2 linked regions of the Neodiprion lecontei genome follow. The protein of the gene in region 2 interacts with the protein of the main gene of each other region in a pairwise test. Links are inferred from orthologs where the notes say so. Each region holds a gene or a part of one and is shown on either strand. Other genes may lie near its edges.

Evidence for each region.
Region 1: the proteins of eukaryotic translation initiation factor 4E-binding protein Mextli (region 2) and uncharacterized protein LOC107224571 interact in a two-hybrid assay, tested with the Drosophila melanogaster proteins (2 studies listed by BioGRID). The link is inferred for Neodiprion lecontei from reciprocal best matches to the Drosophila melanogaster genes mxt and CG13124.

The regions. Positions count from the first base shown.
Region 1 is NC_060261.1:3,497,846-3,502,727, reverse strand, and holds the start of uncharacterized protein LOC107224571, read right to left. Parts: upstream 3,248-4,882; 5' UTR 2,911-3,247; coding exon 2,902-2,910; intron 2,014-2,901; exon of another isoform or gene 1,866-2,013; coding exon of another isoform or gene 1,863-1,865; intron 1,853-1,862; exon of another isoform or gene 1,744-1,852; intron 1,609-1,743; exon of another isoform or gene 1,452-1,608; intron 690-1,451; exon of another isoform or gene 443-689; intron 305-442; coding exon 220-304; intron 1-219.
Region 2 is NC_060264.1:21,030,199-21,035,438, forward strand, and holds the start of eukaryotic translation initiation factor 4E-binding protein Mextli, read right to left. Parts: upstream 3,140-5,240; 5' UTR 2,804-3,139; intron 2,443-2,803; exon of another isoform or gene 1,364-2,442; intron 1,269-1,363; exon of another isoform or gene 1,204-1,268; intron 1,078-1,203; exon of another isoform or gene 1,042-1,077; intron 1-1,041. UniProt on the Drosophila melanogaster protein: Plays a role in promoting translation.

The sequences.
Region 1 (4,882 bases), on a different chromosome or scaffold from region 2:
GTGACTGACAATTCTGCGTATGTTGCAAGTTCTAACAGCTGAGTCACCGTTATCTTCATCATATATACTATATATATATATATAGTATTTAAATATTTTCTGAAGCAACTGTAAAGTTGAAAATATAACTAACGTAACAGAGAATCGAATTTTCACCCGAAAATATTTGAATAACTTGGAAAAATGTTTACAGAAAAACATAGGTAAATGTTTACAAACCTGGAGGGCGATATATTTGAATCGATGGTTTCGTCTTCGGGGTGGCTATGCTACTGTTCCGTTTTTGCAGAACGGCATCCCTCATCTGAAAAGATGTTGAAGTTTTATATCGAGAAGGAGGAGGTGGTAGGTAAATTATACTGATTTTATAACGGAGTTGGAAAAAAATGTTAGGATTATATTAAAGTCTCAAACACTCAAACTATAAAAACTTTGATCGTACCTACGTTTACTTCACGTTCTTCAAAGATTAGGTGATTCAGATTGAATTAGTACAATGCCTCAAATATACGTGTATAATATTTATTATCAGCGGCAAAATGATTACAGCACTAAAGAGGCGTGCTTCTTACATCCTTCACACGTATACATTTTCACGGATCATACAATTAGTAATAATTCAACACATCTAAGAGCTTGGTGATTTGTTATTGCAATGGATCCGGCACCCTGGAGCTGAGCAGCAGTCGCTAATGAAGCAGCAAATGAAAAAAAGGAAACACCTATTATATTTTATCAGACTGCAATAATTATTCGGCAAATCGAGAATAATGACAATAGGTGCAGGTAAAGGTGTCGTTAAACATGAGGATGAAGTTAGTAACTTTACTGTAACGAGGAATGTTTATCAAAAATCGCCAATTCGCACCTTTGTAAATTTCCGAAATTTAGTCAATTATTACAAGCAAAATATTATACACTCATTCTGAAAAGCCAACTATCTTAAAGTCAATCTAAAATTGTTCAACAATGATTACTTTTTTTTCATTTCTTATGTATCGTTACGTTAACATTACTAACTTCAGCCTCGTCACTAAACGAAAATTAAATCTTCGATTATCTGTAATTCAAATACAGTACAGTACGAGACCGGTTCGCCTCCAATAACTCCGAAACGCCATTAGCCGTTAGTCACTAACGCATGCATGCACAAGTATAAAGGCGTCAACTTATACAGCCTCAGATTTAGCATTGCTCATATTTTTCGAACAGTTCAAATACCGCGGCGCGCATTGTCTCTTGAACAATTTTACAGCGACGTCTAATCCTTCCGCACACGTATTATCATATTCAAATTATTCTCTCAGATCCCGAACCGCGTGGTCACACGCACCGATATATTTCCTTGGTAACAGTTCCAACGCTTTTTCTGTTCCAATTCCTTTTTTCAAATTCGAAAAATTCCGTTCGATCATAACCCCGCGTTTACACAGACATATGTTTAAACTCACGGTGATAACTGGTGAACAATCATTGTTAAGAAAAAAAAAAAAAAAAGTGAACGATGGTCGCTGGTACACGTCTGACAGTTGAAATAAGCAGGGTCTAAAAGTGCAGAGAGCAGTTTATCCGTAGGAGAAGTTAACGCTCGGAAACTCAGCGGTGAAATGACGATAGTTTGAAATTTAAAATTTCGTCGAGGCAGGCGTGTGTCAGACACCAAAGAAGTTTTTCAACCTTTTTCAACGTAATTGCAGCTTATCGATGATTATTTAATTTACTTATATTATGCAAGAAGCGTACCACTTTCGAAGCGTGTTATTTCACCGTATAATACACAGAAGCTTATACTCTACTCTGGTGACTAGGAACTAATAATAGCAAGCGCAACCGTGAGTAAGAATATACATGTATATATCCACCATTTAAACGAAGACTGAAATACCCAGCGCGCTGCCTCCATACGAGAGATTCTTTTTAAACCACGGCGACAGCAGCAGCAGCATCAGCGCAGCGCATTTGCGCCGCGAATTTCATTGTACACGGCGATATACGTATATAAAGAATATGATAATATCGTTATCGAATCGATATTGTGACACGCGCGTTCGGCGGTAACATTAATAACAACAACAACAATAACAATAAAAATAAATATATTGACTACATTTAATTTCATCATATTTTTCATCATTATTATTGTTGTCATTTATTTACCAGTATGTTACTTGAGGTACCATTGTTTTGCGATACAACAATCGCTTGTCAAATATTTTATCTACTTACGTAACACAACCCGGTGATCTTACCGATATAATTATACTTGTACGATACATATTTGTAGTTATATGCACGTATGTATGTACAAACGAAAGGTGTGCCGATATGGTTTTAACAAATGCGATTAAAATATTTAACCCCGTTTGCACAAGTGCGGAGCAACGTATTAATTATTAATGATCGGTATAAGTTTTTAGTTTTTTCCATCGGCATCGGTAAAACGAATTCGTGTATACATAATTTATACTTGCAGGCTTTTTCGGATGACGATGATCGTGATATTGTTCCTGTTTGTTCAATCGGCGCGACTCGCGATCCGCCGGCGCGCTTACAATATCGCTAATAATAGATACGCGTGCAGACGTAATTTATAAATCTGAAAAATCTTCAACCCAGCAGCGACACTATCTACTTCCGGTTCGTCACTTCCGATTCCCGATACTCTGTTTATACACAGCGATGACGCAAACGATATTAATTCATAATAAGACTAAACATTTAATATATTATAACAGAAAAAATCGTGCAGCGTTAGATTCATTCTATTAATTATACCTACGCTAATTTGTAGGGTAATACAATATTAGCGACACATTTTACCGTATAAAGTGTGATATTTCTCAATGTACCACAAAACGAGTCAGATTATTGTATACGAGAAAAATCGAAACTACCACCCACCTTGATCATCTGCAGGTATAATCAACGTGCGTCGCTCCGTCTACGACTCCATAAATCCCTCCGTTTTAGGTATTTAACAATACAACGTTAAAATGCAGTGTACAAAAACTCCGTACTCTACGCGCGTGACGAGGAGTCCTAGATATCCAACAAAGCTAAACTAATCGCGGTATGGCTCCCGGAATTATTCGAAGGTGTGTATATAATATGATCATGCGAGCTTTGTAGGTACGCGCGAAACTCGCGAGGGACAGACGTACTTCCTAATAAGAATATAATTATACAACGGCATAAATATAATAAGGTACATGAAAAATTGTAATCCGTACGACACGATATTCTTCTTTATACATGTATATTATTATTATTATTTACACAAGGTGATTATCAATCGGGTACGTATGAGAGAGTCGGAGGATGTGTTTCCTTTGATCGAAATATCTATTAACTGAAATATCTAAACAAAGTACAATATACTTATCCCCCCCCCCCCTACCTATTTCAGATCCAATGATTGGTTATGGAGAAGAGGCGCGGGCGGCATTTCGCTCGTGCCATATAAACGTTGCACACAAGCCATGCCATTATATCAAGCTCTGTAGTCATGTCGCCGATCCTTCGCTCCATGTAAGCGATAGTACGTTTCAAGGTTCGACAGCTCGTTTCACAGCCAGGTATACGCCTGTACAAGACTGTCATAATCCGATCACAGCTGTTGCGAGGCAGGCGAGACGTGCGGATCAGACGGCTCAGCTCTGACTCCCACGCATCTTTTTGATACGTTAATGCACGTTTTAGCGCAATGTAGAATGTTGCGATCACCTAAATCGGGACGGCAGTTCGAGACTTGAAATTGCGTCTTATCGCTCCGCAGAAAACCGTTGAGGTGGTTGTATTTTTTCATTGGCAGTGTTTTTTTTTTTTTTTTTTTTTTTTTTTTATCCAAAGTAGCACAACGAAACAAAGCGAGACGATGACAGCTTGACGAGAGCTGTTCGACGTGATTTGCGACGGTTATTTGAAACCGTCGGCAAATTATTCGCTTCGTACTTATTTTGAATCGAGGTATATCGCAGGCTTAGCGCGCCACGCACGTTGGACAACGCATACTCGGAGGAGTCATGAACGCATACGTTTTTAAGATTCTCCATCTACCACGTATCTATGTAACTTGCTACTTTGTCAGTTTGTTGTGCTGCAGTAGGCAGACAGGCCTGTTATATGAGAGCGCTGCAATATACCTACGTTATGATGCAGCTTGGACTAAAGTTGATTTGCGCAATCCTGTCGTACACCTGTGTAATGTAAGTGAGTTTTTCCTAGTGAAACCGTGTGCGTATTTTACAGCGAATTTAATACACGTATATACCTATGAATATCTCATAATCTTACGCTGCACGCACGTCGTGTGAAGAACCTGTTTTTTTTTTTTTTTGTTTTAAAGAATCTGATGAAATATCATCACGCGAGCCGTCGCATGGATTATAATGCGCTTCGATTGTAATTGCCCGATTGTCAATTTGCATGGCTCCGCGTTGTACAATCACTTGTTTCTTTCTCTATTTATCAGATCATTAATTCGGGATTCGGGTTACTGCATCATTTCGTAATACTTATAATTACGATATTTTACGATCTAACTCCGCAATAATTGAACCCAAACCAATTCCTTATTCAAATAGTCGAACGCTTCGAGAAATCTCGATAGTATCGACTTACGCTATCGACCCTTGTCAAATGCACAATGTAAAATGCGCCATCTTACGAATTACGTCATAACTAAAAATTGATCTATCAAGTGAGTATCGCGATCTTGCAACAGGCAGCGTGTAACCTAAAAATTCATGGCGGCAGCGGAGATTCTTGATGAAAGAAATATTCAAGGTAATATGAAGGTGTAAATGAAACCCAATTTGAAAAATAAACTTTTTGGGTTTGTATAGACTTGCATTATTGCTTTTTCACGCTATTCGCCGACGCA
Region 2 (5,240 bases):
ATACTGAAAAAAAGCGGACAAGAGCGAATACAGCTTGCACCCTGAGGGTTCCATACGAAATTAATTATTTTTTTTTTTTGTATGATATAAGTGCAAATTAACTATTTTCCTACTTATTCCTTTACTTGTGTTGTGAGACCTTACTTCCCTCCAAATTTCATGATTCTGGGTCAACCGGAAGGACCCTATAGGTTTTTATTTATGAGTTGCGAGCAGTAAAATATATGACATAAATGGCCGTATCTTTTGAGCGGGTAAATTTAGAAGCTTGAATTTTTTACACCTCCAAGGGACCGTAGACCTTGGTATTTGAGATTAATTGCAACTTGATACCTTTACCTGGTCCTGAGAAAAAAGGTCTTGACAGACGAACAGACAGACGAATAGACAGACAGACAGATATACGGACAATGAAATGATCCTATAAGGGTTCCGTTTTTTTCCTTTTGAGGCAGGGAACCCTAAAAATGAAATAAATCTCATCATAAAAACACGTGATTTTTGCGTTTCAATTTTACATGAATGAGACAAACTCGTAAAATCGTTAAGGAAGTACCCTGGTCGATTTCGATGTGACGTATATATCTCGAAATATCTAATTCCACGTATCTCAAGAGCGACAAACGGCTTAACAACCGTATTCTATATACAAATCTGAACAAAAACACTCTAACCCATTTTCCATAGACACAGAAATAAAGAAATGGGTTGGATTCTACGAAATCGTAATATAAAATTCGTAGAATTCATGCCATTTCTTTGTTTCTGCGTCAAAAGAAAATAGATTTCAGTGTTTTTGTTCAAAATTATGTATAGAATAGAGGTGTTAAGCCCTTTCTCCGTGAAGTAAAGAATTAAGTCCCTTGTTCCCGTAAGCCCCTTAAATGAATTTAAAAAACGAAATAAATAAGCATTAAATAATAAAAATATTATGAATAAAAATTGTGGCGGCGAGGGGGGTCGGGGGGGGGGCTGCATACGGCCGCCGCTGAGACGCTTGGAATTTTACTTCGTCAGTATTATCATTTCCAGCATTCCAAAGTTGTCAAACGCTATTTCACGCCCAATAAAACTACGGTAAGAATAGCTAAAATGTGATTTCACTATCGTCGAGTTCCAAGACTCGAGAATTTAGTCCGTAAAACTCCATCGTATGGCTGAAGAGTGAAGTTTGCTACTTGCACATTCTATTTCCTCTTATAGGTTTGAAAGCGGCTAACTTCACCCTCCAATAAGACCATAAAATACATCGGGCGAACCGTTGAAATGTAAGAAAAATTTATAATAAATATATTCGCATCGAAATTATTCCCATTAAACGAGTTGATGAACGGGAAATTAGGATTATTCCGAAAATTTCCAGACAGATGTCTGTGACCTGGAAATATTCTGCATCAACGATTTTGTACGCACACGTACGCGGATACGCGTCTATGTGTTTGATGTAAAACAGACGTAAGTCAAACTGTACATGCACACTCGGCTCGGCCTTCAGTTCAGCAGCCAATGCTCAGCGCTCAAGCAAAAACTGTGTTATGTATTTGATTCTATCCACATAAGTATGCGTATGATAATTTATGCACGTAACACATCCCAGGTAAGTGTAATTGACGTTGTGTTATGTTATGACAAAGTTTTTTTTTTGTCGCAGTTAAAGTTGGGATCACAAAAAGGATTAGAAAGCTACAGAATCAGTTATACCTAGAAGTTTGCTTCAATAAGATTGTCGGTAGAGTACATAAATAATATGGATTTAGCGTAGATAAGATGCAGGTATGTTACATTACATACGTAGAATACATGGTTATGTTGTGGTATCGTATGGCGAACGTTAAATTAGGTTAGGTTAGTGCGAATGTTATCTAATCAGGGTCGTTGGCGCGCGTGGAGGAGTAACAAATTGCGCGCCAAACAGGGAATAGAGGAAAATTAAAGGCACAACTCAGTACTGACAGTACCTTCGATAATGACGCGAGGGATGCTGAACGGCAGTGGAGTCCGTTAATTTGGCAAGTGCTCTACAGACCTCAAGACGCAGGGACCGTCAAGTAATCGAAAACGGCGAATATGCGAGAGATTATCGCCTGGCGGCATCGCGTAAGGATTACAACGCAACGTCTTTAAAAGTCACCACCGGCGGATTTCTTGAATTATGGGACAAGGAAAAACGGATCTCACGACGTCGAGTAAATTTCGTAAAAGCACGAGAAAACAGAGGAAGGTCTAATGATGAATATGCGAGAATAAACGCACATCGTCGCTTTCGGCTACCAAAGGTTTATAGTAAAAATGAATGATATGGAGAACGAAAATAACCTCACGTGTCATACCAGCGATATGTATTGTATATACCGCAATGTATACTTGAACATGTGCCTATAAAGTCGCCTAGCTGTATCTACCATACACTAGAGTAGAAAATAAAGAAATTAGTCTTATTACTACTTGCAATTATTTATTAATAAACATTTTTCGTGCCCGATACGTGACCGTTTTTAGCATTTTTAATTGCATTCTATCAATGCGGTTGATCAATCATTGTATATTCAAATGGCGACGATTTTTGATCGCACAGCTTTCGATATCCGATCCTAACGCTGATTCCGATCTAGCTCAAGCGAGCAGGCGAGTCAGCAGGCGATCACTGTATAAAAACCGTAAAAAATGACATATGTAAACGCTTACAGCATAAAGATCACCGCTATTATGGATGTAGACGAACGTGTGTGACAATTTTCAAAAATACACGCACGCACGCGCGTTTGATCATTAACACATACATGCAGGCATACTTATTACTTACTTCAGGTAGATAGGGATGTTGCTGATTTGCGGTGCGCACTGTCCTCTTCTTTTCCACCCAGAATGACAATGAACAGTTGCTTAATTTTATGTGGCCACACGGCGATCGAAAAACGTGCGCGCACGGATCTGACGCGAATTCTAGTATGTTGATTTTTATTTTTTCGATTTTTATTTAGGGATCAAACCAAAGAGGACGACCAACGATTCGTCATGGTATTTTCTCTCTACCCTGTCCTCTGCCTCGCCGCACCTCGCTTAGCCGGACTTCTCACCCGGGCTCTCACGACACGATCTCCCAGCCTAGAGCAGAGAACGGGCAGAGAGTCAACTAACCTACTAGTCGACTAAGCGCCGACTTTCGTTCCGCCTTCGTCTCCCGACAGAAATTCAGGGGCCAATCAGAATTCGAGTCTGACGAGAAATACCCTAAATTCTTGTATATTTCTTTTCTGATTGGTTCACTTAGCCTTAAATCAGCTGCCTTCGGTGAATTCTCGTTACTTTTTTACCAGATACCTGATGCGGGAAATTTGAATTTCCGCTCAAGTTGTAAATACATATTCAAGGGTCACAAGTCGATGTAAAATTTCAAAAGTGAAGTACAATGCAGTTTTAAATACATGATATTTGAAGAATATTATATAATTATGAAATATTCATATTCTCGAACATCTCAAAGTAAAGAAAAAGTAAGATTCTCTGACTTTAGAGACGGTAAATGGATGTTATAAGGAGGCAAAAAGAATTCAGACATTGAAAACATTTTATTCAGTCAGTAAGAAGCCTTCTACATAATAATTCATTTTCATATGTAAATCACACCTCGTGGTGTAATTTACACAACAATATACATCATTTTTCCACGTACCGCTTAGTTTTTTTTTCTGTTTTCATTTTTGTATTTGTTCGGATTAGTTAGTTTACGTTTATGTTATGCCGAAAATAAAATTATCCTAAAAAACATAATCAATAATAGTACTCATAATATTATTTATCCATTATCATCGTCGTCCTCGTGTATATTTTATACTATTATTATTGTTGTTACTGTTATTATTACTAATTGTAGTCAATAAATGATTCCTATTTTGTTTCAACTTAGTTTTCACTGCAACAATGTTAAAATTTGTTACTTTTTTTTTTTGTATCGGTTTCTCCCGCTTTTCGTCAGAATTCGAAATAGAATCCATTCAGATCTCACATTGAGTATTTGACGTTACGATTGAAGAATTAGCAAAGCTGACACCGGATAAAATATTCTCTACCTCAACATAATTGTTTGTTTGTTTCAGTTTTTTCTACAATCGTTTTTTTCAAAGTTCAACTGCAATGTTCATGAAATCTCAAAAAGAATCTTTCGAATTCGCAGAGGTTTCAGTCTCAGGGCGCAAACGAGGTGCTAAAGTACAACATTGTATATCATATATCGTGATCTATAAGTAAAAATTTGCCAACTGTTCGCAGAGAGATCGTAATTTAATAATACCTTCAATAATTATTAATATGTATGTTATGTATGTATATGTTATAATGTATGTATAATATTATCAACTATAATTATAAGTTAGATAATGCGAGATAGAATATAGATGAAAAAGGCACTCGTTTTGTGTAGTAGAAACATAATCCAGGAACCAATATAACGTTGTGTTAACACAACGCTCCAAAACACAATCTCCCTACATTTTGCAACAGCTTTCCTCCGTCTTTTCATTCTTCCTCTCTCTTCCCTGTACTAAAGGTACTCGATTGATTACGTAAATGAATAAATTATTATCATTATCATCGTATAACCATCATCATCATCATCATCATCATTATTTATCATTATTAGTATTTTTTATATCAGTCTAAAAAATTATTACTATCATCTCCCTTTCATTATTCTTGTTCTTCTTCTTCTCAGAAGGACTGTATAGTGTATTTATCGATAAAATTAATACAATGTATACGCTGTATTCATTAATTCTCTCTGTTCTCATCTTCGTCGTCAGTATTGTGACATATTTTATTATAAAAGATCTCGCTTTCTGCAACAGAAGGTAATTTCAACTTTCTTTCAATGTTTTTGTTTTTCACACATGTATAATCGAAAAATTTGTACGTTAGCACAATGTTTGCATCAAGATCGGGAGCGATTGATACGTAACTTAAACAGGCTTCAGAGAAGAAAGAAAACAATATTTGTTATTTCCTTCTGTTTTGCACATTAGTATAATATATACTTACATTGATTATGTTTACATCAGAAATAATATTATTTCATGCTAAAATTGACTCAATTGCTTCGACAGCGTTTATGGATTTATAGTAGGTGCAAGTTTAGTGAAGGGGAAATAAAATCTTTGTAAAATAACACAGAATCGTGTACAGTGGAAGACAAAAAAAACAAACTACAAACAAACAACCATTAAACCAAAGGATTGATTTTTTAT